Alligator mississippiensis: one gene and its partner. The protein of the gene in region 1 interacts with the protein of each later gene in a biochemical or structural test. Links are inferred from orthologs where the notes say so. Each region holds a gene or a part of one and is shown in the gene's direction. Other genes may lie near its edges.

Region 1 (7,743 bases):
CAGGTAGACTGGTTCTAAAAACTTTATAAGAAAATGTCCCTGCAGCAGCCCCAGCCCTGCTGCACCTTGTTAATGCACTAACACACAGTAGAATTAGTCTACTGAATATTTGCATCACTTAAAAAGTGTGCACTGGTGCTACTGGGCAGTAGCTCCAGTTATTGCACATTTAATTAGTACCTGTTTGTTAGAGTCAGGGAGAAAAAACATGGAAAATGGCAGGTTTCCCCTTGGAGGCTGACAGAGTTCCCACCTGCAAGGAGCTGCTTGGGGCTGGGAAGAGCAGGAGGAGAGCAATCAGAGGCAAGTGGCACACATGCATGGGGCAGACAGCATGGAGAGCAGCTCCTTCAGCTCCCTCCCGGTAAGTCTATGCAGGGAAGTGGGGGGGAGGGGGAGGAACTGAGGCCCCCACAGTGAGGGAGGGAGAGAGGGATTAAAGTAAGACAGGGCAGGACAGGGCTGGGATGGGCTGTGGTCACTGCCCAGCTGAAGTGGTACATGGGGTCCAGGACCAAGATAGAAATGTGCAGCCACAGGGCCCAGTGAGGGGTAGGGGGGGGGGCTCCCTGCTGCTGCGCATAATCCCAGGAAGAGAGGAAGGGGGGGGCACATGCCCCCTGGATTTGTGTGCAGGGGTGGGGTAGATGTGAACTGCCAGCTGCAGGCTTGGGGCTCCCTACCCTGCTGCCCTCTCCCAGGGGCCTCCGCAGCAGAGTGGGGTGGGGAAGCTCAATGCCACTTCAGGGAGCCCCATGTTGGCGACACCACCATGGCAAGCCACCCCCTGCCTACCTAGCAACAGCTGGGGGACACAACTCCATGCTGCTGCTGCTGCTGCCAGGTGGGCAGGGTTGCCTCACCATGGTGGCAAGGCCAGCATGCTGTTCCCAGCCATGGCACTGAGCCTCCCCTCCAGGGCCCACCCACTGAGCTGCAGAAGCCCTGAGCCCACAATAGGCAGGTCATATCTCCCTCCCCTCTCCCCGCAATGGGCTTCATTTCAGTTGTGCTGCCCACAGTGGGGGAGGGGGGGAGTGGCAGAGAGCTGAACTGCATGCTCCACTCTGGCCACAGCAACCACCACCTCCCATGGGAGGCCTCCGGGGCTTGGGTGCTGATGGGGGGGCGGGATAGGGGGCTACAGGCCGTGGCCCTGGTTTCTGTAGCCCTGGCAGCTGGGGGCCCCCTTAGCTGTGGGGTGTAGCCCATATAACATGTTGAAAGCTGCATGTGTGGCCCACTATGGCAAATAGGTTGAAAACCGCTGAATTAGAATATAACCTATCAACCATATTTCTGTATTCACTAGCCTTCTTTAATAAGCTTCTGAAATTGGCCAGGTAATAGAATAAAAATTTCAAGGTGAACATGGATTTTTTTTACTTTTCTTTGCCTGCCTGAACTGCATGTGAACCAAAGTTTGAACTTCTTAAAAACTTTCTTTTGAAACCTAGGCAAGAAGTTTTTTTCCTTAACAGGTGACCATGTGTTAGAGGCTTTTTAGGACACAGGGATGAAACTTAATAGAGCTCTGTATGCAGATGATGCACTCCTTTTTGTAAAAAACCCTCTTTTTTCCTTAAAAGCAATAGTATTCCAGGCATGTAAGTTTGTCTCTTTTTATGGATAAAAAAATAATTATGAAGAATCAGAAATGTTAGATCATGGTATTTCTGAGAAACTTAAGCTTATATAAATGTATATATGAAAAACTATATGCATTTAATTGGGTTAAAATTCAATAAGATGCCTGGGTATTAACTTTACAGTAAAGCACAAGAAACTTTTTATCACCAATTATTTGCCAGTCTGGTCTAAAATAACAAAACCCCTCAGAAAATGGAGGGGGATGGGGGATGGATATTTCTTGGAGAAACAGAATAACCACTTTTAAAATAAATATATATCCCAAAAATTCCTTTACTGTTGTAAAGCTTAACTATATGTATGCCAAGGAGTACATTAAAGGCTTCACAAACTTTTCTCCTGAATTTTGCCTGTAAAAGTAAGAGGCCAAGCGTAAGCACATCAGTTATACACAGGCCTTCTAAAATGGAAGATCTTGCAGTGCCCACCATAATGGCATATTATCATGCAGCCCAGTTGAAAGATATACATTGGTGTGTGAAAAGTTGCTTTCCCCACACTCCTCCCCATTAACTGTCCAAAGAATTCCTCCCTAGAACTGATCAAAAATGCAATTCTTAGCATGTCTATATATTCATTAATGTGCCTTTCCTACTGCATTAAGTTTAGTACCTCTAATATGAGGTACTAGATAAAGGCACAGTAGCAGCACTAATGCAGGGTAGCAAAGGCATTTTTTTTGTGATGCTCAATGCACAGCAGACTAATTCTACTGCATATTAGTTTTTGCTGCAATGTGCTAATGCACAGTAGAACAGTTCAGGGTACATTAAGGCATCTGGTATAAACATACCCTCAGTTTGGGTCAGGGTGGGTATTCTCCAGTTAGGCAAATGCTTTTGGGAGGAGGCTATGAGATCTTATAAAATAAAGGAATCTGTGATAACCCTAATGGAAATGAGTCCTTTTTTCAGTATCCTCACATTAGGAATTTTATTTAAAAAATAAATAGAAAAGCATACTCCCTTTGAGCAACTGACATATTGTGGACTCAAGAAAAAAAGAGTTAATCTTATATATGCAATTTTAATAGAGAAAGGGATGGCTAGGAAGACTAAACAAATGAAGGCTTGTGAAAGAGACCTGAGGAAAGAAACTGAGCTAGAGCACTGAAGAGAAATTTGGGGACAGAGGTGTTCATTTTCCATATATGCTTTCCAAAGGAAAAAAAAAAAGCCTTTTATAAAATACTCCAAAGATGAGACCTATCTCCAACTAGAATCCAACACATATTTTCTAATGGTGATGCATCATGTTGGAGAAACTAAAGAGAAAGAGGTCCCTTTTTCCATATGTTATGGTTGTGTCCAAATGTACAAATATTCTGGGGGGGAGGGTGGAAGGGGGAAGTTACTAGTGAGGTGGGTGGTAATAATTCTTTGAATCCACTGGTTTGTCATTTGAATGCCCCAGTAAAAGTCGTTAGCTAGATTACAGATGGCTTATATGTGGAAGGAACCATCCCCTCTTCCTCTCCCCCATAATGTGCTAACCTAAAATATAGGATGTGTTGTTGTTGGACAAACTGTCATATCAAATTAGATTACCAGCCTAAGACAAAGAAGGAATAGATATTTCAAAATATGGGTTCTATTTCCAACCTATACTGATCTATTTCTATTGCTGAGGGCAAAAAATTACCACCCAGTAAGCTAGTCTCTAGTCAGATTCTTTGAAAATTAATTAATGACCACACACATACGCACACACACACACACACACACACACATACACACACACACCACGATATTGATAGTAGTGATAATTTATAGGAATTGTTTTGTATTATTTCTTTTGTAATGATGTTACAGCTTCAACCTCATTCGAATTCCTGCATGTTCCTCTTTGTTTCCGATTTTGCTTTATATAGTTGCCTGAATCAAAAAAGTTGGGGGGGGGGGGGAGAGAGAGAGAGAAAGGAAAGAAGACTTCCAGAGGTTATCTACTCGGACACTGTACAGCTCTGTTCAGACCAGCCCAGAAGGGGAATCTCAGGATCCCACCTATAATGGTGCTTATTTTAATGGTAATGTTGGGAGATGCTCGGTACTAGAGTATTAAAACATATTAAGAAAGTAGGGCTGGAAGGGATCACAAGGCAGGCTTGGTCATATCATATCATAGAATCATATCATAAAAATTAAGGCTTGGACAGGACCTAAAGATCATCGAGTCCAACCCCCTGCTGTGGACAGGAATAGTGCTGAGTTCAAATGATCCCAGCAAGGTGTCTGTCCAGTCCCGACTAAACCATCCCTCCTAAGTGTCAGTCCAACCTACTCTTAATAGTTTCCAAGCAAGGAGATTCCACAAGTTCTCTAAGTAGTCTATTCCAATGCCTGACCACCCTCAGAGTCCCAAAGGTTTTCCTACTATCCATCCTAAATCTCCCATGCTGCAGTTTGAGGCCATTGCTCCTAGTGCAGTCCCCTACAGCTAGAGCCAGAGGGAAAAATCCCTCCCCATCTTCTCTGTAAGGCCCTTCAGGTATTTGGAGACTGTTCTCAAATCGCCCCTCCCCCCGCTCTTCTCTTCTGCGGAATCAAGAACCCTAGCTCCTTCAAGCTTTTCTCAGAAGCCTTGCCCCCCTGGCCCCGAACCACTGTTGTCTCTCTGCTGGGCTTTTTCCAAGAGATCCACGTCCTTCGTGAATCGCGGGCCCGACAGCTGAGTGGCATCTCCCATCCCCCCGAGCTGGCGTTGAGATGAGGCGCCTGGGCAGGGTTTGCCATAGGCAAGGGCGCAGTGGCGGCCAGCCTTTGCTCTTGGCGTGTTCAGCAGGGGCCCAAGACACTTTTCCTGGGGCCGAAGGAAAGCTGGTAGTATGGTCGCGGGCCTGGTACCCAGCGCTGCTCAGCCTACACCTCCTGCCCTATCCCCCGTCCCCGCGAGGCAGCCCGCGCCCACGCTGCGCGCTCCGGATGGCCAGGCAGGCGCTTGCGCCGGGGCTGGTGGCAGCGCACCTCCACCCAGCGGCTGCAGCCCTCAGGGCCGTGCGCGCCCTCGAGCCGACGCGGGGTGGCGGGGCTGGGGGGGCTGAGCACGGGAGCAGGGGAAGATCCCGCCCCTTTCCCGCGGGACTGAGGGCGGCCGGTGGAAACGGAAGGGCTACGAGCTTACAGGCTGCGGCAGCAGCAGAGAGGGGGCGTGGGGGCTGCCGGCTGGCGGCACATGGCGGCGAGCCCGGGCGACCAGCTGGCCAGCGCCGCGGCGCGGGGGGACTGCGCGGCAGTACAGGCGCTGCTGGAGGCGGGCGCGGCCCCCGACGCCCAGAACAGCTTCGGCCGCACGGCGCTGCAGGTAGCCTCCCCGCGGGGGCGGCTGAGCGCGGGGGAGCCGGCTAACTGCACCTGGGTTTCACAGCGCTGGGACTGGGGGGTGAATCAATCGCGGGGAGACGTCGGAGAGAAATCTGGGTTGAAGAGGGGACCCCACCCCGGGTTTAGCAAATCCTAATCCGTCTGGTCCCCCAGGAGAGTGGGGGAAGGGGGGAGTTCCGGCTGCTTGCGCAGGCAGCTGGAAGGGGCATGTGCGTTCCCCTGGTCCCGGGGCCCCGTGTCTTCCATTTCTCTTCTCTTCTTCCCTTGGTGGATTTTTTTTTTTTTTTTTTTTTTTTTTTTTGCGGGGGGGACACTTTTGTTGCTGGTGTTTTTTAGTTTTCGTTTGTTTTCAATCCTCTTGATAACACTGGCGTGCAAGGCTGCATTACTGTTCTCTAGAAACGGCGCCCGGGTAAGAGGGCAGAGATATAGAGAGCAGAAGGTTTGAAAAACAAAGCTGTAAAAATTCAAGGAATTAAGTAATTAGATTGTCTTGGTGCACAAAGAGTGATTGCAGAGAAAAACGTGGTGCCTCTAGTTGTTGGGGTTTTTTGTTTTGGGGGGGGTTGGTTGTTTTTTTGGGGGGAGGGGAGGGGAGGGGGTTGTTTCTTTTTGTTTTCAATCCCCAACCCAGTGTCAAAACACCAGGCTGAACTGGGCATAAATCAGCCACTGACTCTGGAATAATTTTGGTAGCCTACAGACAAGATGCATCGTTCTTTTCTCTTTATTACTCTTGGAAAGGAAAGTAATAAAAAAACACATGTGGGGGGAGAGAGAGAGAGTCCATTTCCAAGTAGGTTCAGATTTTAGATCCACCCTATAGTTTTCTCTCAACCTGTATTTGAGATTGGGAAGAGAAGCTACTGCCATTTAATTAATAAAAAGGTTGGCACACAAAATAGCTGCCATGCAGGTAAGCTTTTACAAAGAGTTTTAGCCATTTAAAATGTAACCTGCCCAGAAAAAAAGGCATGCAAAATGTCCATGTTATTTATATGTACCTTTTAAATGAATATTTAAAGATAATATTCCATTACCTGTATTCAAATTTTCTCTCTCTCAGAATGTAGTTACAAAAAAGTTTAGGTTTCAAGGTATTTAAGGCAGCATTAAGTGTCAAATACATTATTTTGTTTAAAATGGGGATTTGTGCATGTTAAAAGTTATGTAAATCAAATCATATAAAGAAATTGCAATATTAGTACAGTTCTATTTGTTTCAAATAGCAAGTGTGAGGCAGCCAGTTAAGAAAATGGATTCTTCCTCAAAATAAAAAATAGAAGTGTATGCTGTCTCGACTTATACCCCCCCAAAAAACAAACCAAAACAGAACAAAAACACTTTTTCCTGGATTCCTTTTATTAACGACCTTATACTATTTAATTATTTGGCTACCTAACTGAGAAAAAAAAATTAGTCCCCTTTGCACTAAGGCAGACAGGGATCTTTGGGTAAATCTGATATTTTTTATTAGACCAATTAAAATAGTTGGAGAAATTTTTCTGTTGCAAGCCAGAGAAAGAAGAATTTCTCCAACTCTTCACCCTATGTCCTTAGACCAGCATGGATGACTACAACCTATACCCTTTGCACTAAAACACTGATACTTGCATATACCCGACAATAATAGAAGTCTAACAATATCGATTTAATTTAGTATAGTTTATATTATTATGTATTTATTACACACGCTTCTGTTTACAAAAGCCTATTTCCATGAGTCGCTGAAAGGACTAATGCCCAGGCTGAACGAGATAGATTCTGAGCTCGAGCGCAGTACACAAATGATAGCGACAGGGTCCAGAGCAGTCCCTAAGGATGTGCGGGGCAGGGAGTGGCGAACTGCAGGAGTCAGCAATGCTCGGCGGTGGTAGAGCCGGCGGTGCGTGGCGGCCGCGGCAGGGCCTGTACTGCACTGTCCACGGGCCCCACCAAGGCGTGGGGCCCCGGGCAGTCGCCCCGATTCGCCTCCCCCCCACCCCCAATAGGGACTGCCCTGACAGGGTCACAACGATTACCCATTGTCAGAGACGATAATCCCGTGGATAGTGAGCAATCCTTTCTCAATAGGCGATCTCCATTTCGTTTAGCCCAAGAAGTTTCCCATGCGGGCACTAGCGAAAACAGATCTAGCTTACGTACTGCAGGGCTGGGGGCCTACTGTCTACTAAACTTACAGGAAAAAATGTCCCCTTGTACTAAAACATTGGTATTTGCAGAGGCTGGACAATAATAAGGGACCAATAATATATCATAATTTTAAATAATATTATTATATAATCAGTAATATTTTTAGAATTGTACTATACACTATATAACATTGATATTTGCAGATACTGGACAATAATAGGGACTAATCATATACATATTATATATATATATTCTAATATATATATTATTGGTCCCTATTATTGTCCAACAACTGCACATATCAGTGTTATATTTATATACATATATTTAATATAGTGTATAATACAATTCTAAAAAAATAAATTATTAAAAATAAAAAATTGCAACTAATTAATTCATTAAAATTAAAGAAATTTAAATTTAAAAAATATTTTAAAATGTGCTGCTCACCGGGGGAAAATATCTTCAAAGCAACCGGAGTTAGGAAATTTCATATCGGCGGAGGATTGCCCCAGGATTTGATTTCTTCTCCTTGCCCCCCTTTTTTCGGGGGCGAGGAAAGTCTGACTGGTTTTAAAGGGAGCACATGATCTGGTTCTCGTTCCCTCCTCAGTTAACAAAGGAAACGGTCGGCATAGCG
Region 2 (7,085 bases), on another chromosome or scaffold:
CATGCCCATGCACACACACGTGCACCTGCATACCCCCCAGAGGTAACTGGGGCATCCCAGGGGCCTCCCACCCCCTCCAGCCCCCGCAAGGCTCCAGGGACCCCCAGACAGACCCGGACCCCGGCACAGCAGGAAAAAGGCAGGTGTCCGGGGTGGGGTATTAACCCTTGGTGCCCTGCAAAAAGAGCATCCATGAGCCTCCACCCTGGCTCACTCGCGTGCACGTCTGTGCCCACATGTACACGCGCTGGGCAGCACGGTGGAGACCAGGCCGCGGCTGCAGCCAGATGGATGGAGCTCCAGCCTCCCTCCTGGGGCTGGGGCTTGCTCCGGCCCCGGCAGCTGGGAGGGGGTGCCCGGGAGCCCAGGGTGCAGCTCCAGCCCCTGCCCGCAGGACAAGCCCCGGCATCCCCGGTCTGTCCCTCCAGCCAAGGCTGGCTCCCTGCCCATCACCTTCAGCTGACACAGCCCCCCCCCCCCATCACAGCTCGGAGGCCTGGGCCTACACCCGGCGCAGCATGGAGCCCCCCCAGCCACCACCTGGCTCCAGCTCCGGGGCCTCTGCTGCCCCCCCGGCCTGCAGGGAGCGGCAGGGACGGGCAGCCCAGGCCCCGGCTCCAGCGCCCCAAGTGGGGGGTAGCAGGAGAGGGTGCTGCCCTCCGCGGGGGGCTCACACATGCATGCACACACGTGTGCAGGCCCACAGGCCCCCCTCTCCCCAGGCAGGGATGCATGGGTCTGCACACACACACACACACACACACACACACACACACACACACACGGGCAAGGATATGTGTGGGTGCATGCAAGGATACGCCTGCACAGGGGGGCACGCTGCCACGGGAGAGGGCACGTCGACACGCACACACACATGTGCACCTGCTCCCATGTGCAATGGCACGCATGCACACACGCGCCCCCATGCACACACACGCCTCCCCCCTGGCGCACATGCATGCATACAGATGCGCGCACACAATACAGTCATGCACACCCATGCACAAACACACCCAGACGCTCTCACACACGCGCATGCACACACACCCATGGCCACGGGCACACCCGTGCAGACACGTACCCATGCACAGCCATGCAGACAGACACGCGCGCGCACGCACACACACACACACACACGCACACACACGCACACGCAGCCCCCCCCCCGTGTCTCACCGGGGCCGCGGGCGCGGTCGCGGCTCCGGGCTGCAGCATCCAGGGATGCGCCGGCTCCGCCCGCCTGCCCGGCCCGGCCCCGCCGCTCGTCAGCGCCGCCGGCCGCGGCAGCCAATCCCCGGGCAGAGCCCCCTCGCCGCCCCCCCGGGTCCTGCGCCGGCCGCTCCCCGCGATCCGGGTCAGCCGGGGGGGCCGGGACCCGAACCGGGGTCCCCGGGGTGCCCGGCCCCGCCCCCTGCCCGGCCCCGCCCCCAGGGTGCTGCGGGGTGCAGGCTCTCTGCACACTCAGGCAGGCGGGGGCCGTCCCCAGGCCCAGGTGGGAGCCGCAAGGGCAGGGCTGGCACCCGGCCGCCCTCCCCTCCCCAGCACCGGCTGCATCAGCTGGCAGGGGCCGGCCCTGCGGGTGCCCGGCCCCTCTGGGTGGAGCTCGCAGCACCGAGCGCGCGGAAGGGCCCGCGGCGGGGACACCCGAGTGACAGAGGCACCCGCACCGCCGGCATGGCCACCTGCAAGAACATCGTCATCTTCGGGGCCACGGGCATGACGGGGCTGGCCACGCTGGCGCAAGCCCTGCAGGCCGGTAGGGCGGGCGGCGCGGGGGGTCCGAGCCAACCCCCGGGGCGCTGGGGGCAGAAGAGCCCCTGCCCCCTGGGCAGAAGCCCCGAGCACCCCCAGGGGGGCAGCTGACGGAGGGACACCCAGACGTAGCCCCAGGGGGTGCAGGGAGGGGGCATTGGATGGGCCCCCCGATGCCCCGGGCCCCGCCAGGGGTAGCTGCAGGAGCCCCCGAGCCCGCGCCAGGGGGGTGTGGACGGCGCATGGCGTGGGGAGATAAGCAAGGCCGTTACTGGTGGACGCCCTGCCCTGGGCACGTCCAGCAGAGATAGTTCTGCTGTTGCCCCCCGGACGCCTGGGTCCCCTCCCCGCTGTGCCACCGTGACCCGCCAGCAGCGGTGCTTGGGGATCGGGTGTTGGTGCCACCCAGACCCCAACCGGGATCAGGGCCCCAGCACCACCAGGTTGGGGCGCCTGGGGGCTGGTTGGCACCGGGTGGCCAAAAGGTGGGTCAGTGCAATCGTCTGGAGCAGGGCACTGGCTCGGGGTGCCAGGTGCTGTACAAACCCCATTGGCATTGGCCAAGAGGGGCCAGCCCAGGGCCACTGAGGTCCCCACGCGCCAGGGTGGCTTCTGCTGAGTCACGGTCCCAGCTGGGAGGGTGCTGAGTCATGGTCACGTGTCCCCAGCTGCTCGCCTGCCACATGCCCGAGCCGGGGGCGTGAGCCCATAGCTGGAGCACGGGCCAATCCAGGGCCTAACCTCAGCGCCACGCTGGGCCCAGCGGGCGCCAACAGGCAGCTGGGCACCCAGCCACCCCGGCCCTTGCTGCCTGGGCCGGGTGCCAGCCAAGACCCGGAGCTGGCATGGGCGGCACAAAAGCGAGACAGGCGCTGAGCCACGGGAGCGGGAGCCCCCCCCAGAGCCGGGGGAGAACCCAGGTGTCCGGGCCACGCTCACCCGCTCTCCCCCCTCAGGCTACCAGGTGACGGTGCTGGTGCGGGACCCAGCGCGGCTGCCCCCGGACCTGCACCCAGCACACGTGGTGGTGGGCGACGTGCTGGACCCCAGCGCCGTGGACCGGGCTGTGCAGGGGCAGGACGCCGTCATCATCATCCTGGGCACCCGCAATGACCTCAGTACGTCCCCTGCCCCCTGCCCCCTGCCCCCTGCCCCCTTGACCCGTCTCCTGCCCCCTGACCCGCCTCCTGCCCCCCAGGCCCCACCACCATGATGTCCGAGGGCACCAAGAACATCGTGACTGCCATGAAGGCCCACGGGATCCGCAAGGTGGTCGCGTGCCTGTCGGGTGAGCTCTGGGCTGCCAGGGGTTAATGCCAGGGGGTGGGGTGGGGTGGGATCAAGGGGTGCAGCAGGGCTGGGGGCCCAGACTCCTGGCTCCCATCAGGGGCTCGGAGCCGGGTGCCCGCAGCTCACAGCTCGGGTGGCCCCTTGTCCGCAGCCTTCCTGATGTGGGACCCGGCCAAGGTGCCGGCCAGGCTGCAGCCCGTGACCGACGACCACATCCGCATGCACCGCATCCTGCAGGACTCGGGCCTGGACTGCGTCTCCGTCATGCCGCCCCACATCGCCGGTGTGTGCCGGGGCTGGGGGGGAGGGGGGCAGCGATGGGGACCCCCCTGCTGACCCTCCCTTGCCCCCGCAGGTGACCAGCCGCTGACCGGGGACTACACGGTGACCGTGAACGCAGCGAGCGGCTCCCGCGTCATCTCCAAGCACGACTTGGGCCACTTCTTCCTGCAGTGCCTGAGCACGGCCCAGTACGACGGCAAGAACGTCTACCTCTCCCGCCACTACCCCAAGGAGTGAGCCCGGCCCCCGGCTGCCCACCCTGCTTGCTCCGGCGCCTGACGCTCCCGGGATGATTAAACCGCAGTGATTTTTCCCAGCCGCTCTCCACCTGCCTGGCCTGACGCCCCCCCTCCCGGCCTGGCCCAGACACCTGGGTTCCCTGCGGGAGCTGCCCACGTGCAGCAGGGAGCCTGGGGGGGTTGAAGAAGGGAGCCGGGTGATGCACCTGCCATCTGGGGGAACTGAGGCACTGCCCCCACTCCGCCACTGGGCTGGGGAGAACCCGGGCATCCAGGTCCGAGTCCGACCCCGCAGCCTGCCAGGCGTCCCGGTTCCCATTCCCACCCCACAAGGGCTGCTGAGCCCCACCAGGGGAGGAGGGGGCCTGGCAGGAGGCCAAAATGTCCCAGCATGCCCTGCGCTGAGCCCCCCCACTCTGCCCCCCCCCCCTCCACCTGGGACATGTTGGGATCTGCAGGCTGCTTTATCCCCATGGCAGCGCCAGCTCCAATCAGGGAGCAGGGCTGGGGGGGGCAGGAAAGAGGAGGCACCATGAAGGGGTGATGGGGGAGCTGCCCCATGGGAGGCACAGGCCATGGGGTGGTACCAGGCGGGGCAGGGGCAGCGTGGAGGGTCAGGGGTCATGGGGGATCGGGGTCCCGGGGGGCACCGTGCAGGGCAGGGACGTCATGGGGGGCACCATGTGATGCAGGGGCAACCATGGGGGGGCAGAGGTCATGGGGGATCGGGACTGGGAATGGCTGGGTGGAAGAGGGCAGCGGGGCCCATGGGGTGGAGGCGAGGGAGTCGGGGAGCTGCAGGGTCTGCGTCCGCCTCCGCGGTCACTACGAGGTCTGGGGGGCAGGGGCAAAGCCCGGGCTCCCTCTGGGCCCCCCGGGGGGTGCAGGCGTAGGTCAGGACCCGTGGCCGTGCCAGGCCCTGCTCCGCTTCAGGGGCCACGTGCCCAGGCCCAGGCCTCAACACCTGCCTGCGGCGGGGGGCCCTTCCCTGCACCCCCTGGGCCGCTGGGCGCCAGGCGGGCGTAGCAGGGCGTGCTGCGGTTTCGGTTCCTCGCCGCAGCCCTTCCTCTGCTACCCGCCTGGCACAGGGGTGCCCGGGGGTGCCAGGCTCGGGGGAGGCCGGAGCCCCAACCCCCGCCCCGCCTATTGGCGGCTGCTGTGAGCTGAGACCGGACACACTCATCTCCCCCCACGCGCCGCGGGGAGCCGCTGACGTCAGCCCCCCACTATGCAAATGAATCCCCCTCGCCTCCACCTATCAGGCAGAAGCAGGCGGGGCCTCGCGCTCCTTCCTCTCCCCTTTCCTTGACTCTCCCCCGTCCGCCCACGGAATGCAAATAAGCCCCCCAGCCCCACGCTCCGATTGGCTGGCCCGCGCCCCGCCCTTTTCCTGGCCTGGCCCCGCCCATTGGCTGGGGCCGGGCGTGCCGCGGCAGCGAGGATCGGCGCCGGGTCGGTGGAGGGGGGCGGGGGAAGAGAGGAGGGGGGGATGCCGGCTCCTGATTGGCTGCGCGCCGCGTTCCAGGCCCCGCGGATTGGCCCCTGAGGAGCGGGTATGTAAATGAGGGTCCCGGGCTCGGGGCTGCGCTGCGGGGAGGGGAGGGGGGCGGCCGGGACGGGGGGGGGCCGGGACCGGGGCGCGGGGGCGGGGCGGAGCAGAGCGGAGCGGAGGGAGCGCGGGCGGTGACTCACGGGGGGGCGGGGCCGGCCTGACTCACCGCCCCGCCCCCGCCTCGCCGGCGCCGGGCAGGACCGGGGTGGGGAAACTGAGGCACAGGGGTGGGGGGGAGCCCTCTGCTCCGGGCCTCAGTGATGGCACCTGCAGCCTGGGTCCATGGGAGCCGCGAGACCGGGGCGGGGAGGCAGGAAAAAACCCGGGTGTCCGGCCCCGCCCCCTGTGCCCGAGCCCCCGCGGCGCGGTGCTGAGTCTCCCCTTCCCTCGCAGCGCCATGCTGAACAAGGGCGTCAAGCGCAAGCGCGGCACCGCAGAGAGCGCAGGGCCGGATGCCCCCGCGTCCCCCGCCGCCCCGGCCACCTCCCTCTTCAGCCTGTCCGTGGTCAAGCTGCACCGGAGCCTGCGGCACGTGGAGCCCGACCTGCGGCCCCTGGTGCTCGTGACCAACGCCCTGCGGCGCCTCCAGGACCAGATGCAGACGGAGGCTGCGGCGCCCGAGCCCCCTGGCACTGTCCTACGTTGCCCCGCCGCCCCGCCGGATGGCTCCGGCGCCCTCCCAGACTGCCCCACATGCCCACTGGATGGCTCCGGCGCCCCCTTGGACAGCTCCGGCGCCCTCCCAGACTGCCCCACGGGCCCTCTGGACAGCTCCGGCGCCCCCTTGGACAGCTCCGGCACCCTCCCAGACTGCCCCATGGGCCCACTGGAGGGCTCTGGCGCCCCCTTGGACAGCTCCGGCGCCCTCCCAGACTGGCCCACGGGCCCACTGGACGGCTCCAGCGCCCCCTTGGACAGCTCTGGCATCCTTCTCGGCACAGGGCCTGCCATGCTGCTCCCCAGCCTGGACGTCTCGCTCGGCTCGTCCGTCTCGGGGCTCCTGGGGGACTTGGAGCCGGCGGGCAGCCTGGTCCCGGCGCTGTGGGGCGCAGAGTGCGGGGCACGGGCACTGCTGGCCCCTCTGCCGGACGAGGGGCTGGAGGGCGTCTTCGAGGACATCGACACCTCCATGTATGACGGCGAGCTGTGGGCACCTGCCGGCCTCAAGGCCTTGGCGCCGGCGCCGGGCGAGGACGAGGCGGCGCCGGGCCCTGAGGACGGGGGCCTGGACATCAATGACCTGGACTTGCTCATGGATGTGCTGGTGGGCCCACGGGGGCTCTGAGCCCGCTCCCAGGCCTGGCAGGCCGGGGGGGTCTTGGGCAGTTTGCCCCCCCCAGGCTGCAGAGCCGCAGGCAATGAAATGGTTAATGTCTGAGTCAGCTCCTGCCTCTTGTACCTGGTGCTGGGGCAAAGTTGGGGGGCTGGGAGCCCAGATGCCTGGGTGTTGCCCCAGGTCTTGGGTGGGGGGAGACCACAGGGAAACTGAGGCAGGAAGCGAGTCAGGGGCACATGCCCCCTTGTGGCCGAGTTTTCATAGATTCATAGATGATTCATAGACGTTAGGGTTGGAAGGGACCTCAATAGATCATCGAGTCCGACCCCCTGCATAAGCAGGAAAGAGTGCTGGGTCTAGATGACCCCAGCTAGATACTCGTCTAACCTCCTCTTGAAGACCCCCAGGGTAGGGGAGAGCACCACCTCCCTTGGGAGCCCGTTCCAGACCTTGGCCACTCGAACCGTGAAGAAGTTCTTCCTAATGTCCAGTCTAAATCTGCTCTCTGCTAGCTTGTGGCCATTGTTTCTTGTAACCCCCGGGGGCGCCTTGGTGAATAAATCCTCACCAATTCCCTTCTGTGCCCCGGTGATGAACTTATAGGCAGCCGCAAGGTCGCCTCTCAACCTTCTCTTCCGGAGGCTGAAAAGGTCCAGGTTCTCTAGTCTCTCCTCGTAGGGCTTGGTCTGCAGGC

Evidence for each region. The genes of interacting proteins can lie anywhere in the genome.
Region 2: the proteins of cyclin-dependent kinase 4 inhibitor B-like (region 1) and SERTAD1 form a complex in vitro, tested with the Homo sapiens proteins (2 studies listed by BioGRID). The link is inferred for Alligator mississippiensis from reciprocal best matches to the Homo sapiens genes CDKN2A and SERTAD1.

The regions. Positions count from the first base shown.
Region 1 is NC_081826.1:175,523,272-175,531,014, forward strand, and holds the start of cyclin-dependent kinase 4 inhibitor B-like, read left to right. Parts: upstream 1-4,729; 5' UTR 4,730-4,821; coding exon 4,822-4,950; intron 4,951-7,743. UniProt on the Homo sapiens protein: Acts as a negative regulator of the proliferation of normal cells by interacting strongly with CDK4 and CDK6. This inhibits their ability to interact with cyclins D and to phosphorylate the retinoblastoma protein.
Region 2 is NC_081838.1:2,495,774-2,502,858, reverse strand, and holds SERTAD1 (SERTA domain-containing protein 1), read left to right. Parts: upstream 1-4,298; 5' UTR 4,299-5,116; intron 5,117-5,508; 5' UTR 5,509-5,512; coding exon 5,513-6,400; 3' UTR 6,401-6,493; downstream 6,494-7,085. Other genes in the region: SPTBN4 (spectrin beta chain, non-erythrocytic 4), read right to left, coding at 1,177-1,215; BLVRB (flavin reductase (NADPH)), read left to right, coding at 1,675-1,756, 2,709-2,870, 2,951-3,040, 3,194-3,325, 3,398-3,561. UniProt on the Homo sapiens protein: Acts at E2F-responsive promoters as coregulator to integrate signals provided by PHD- and/or bromodomain-containing transcription factors. Stimulates E2F1/TFDP1 transcriptional activity.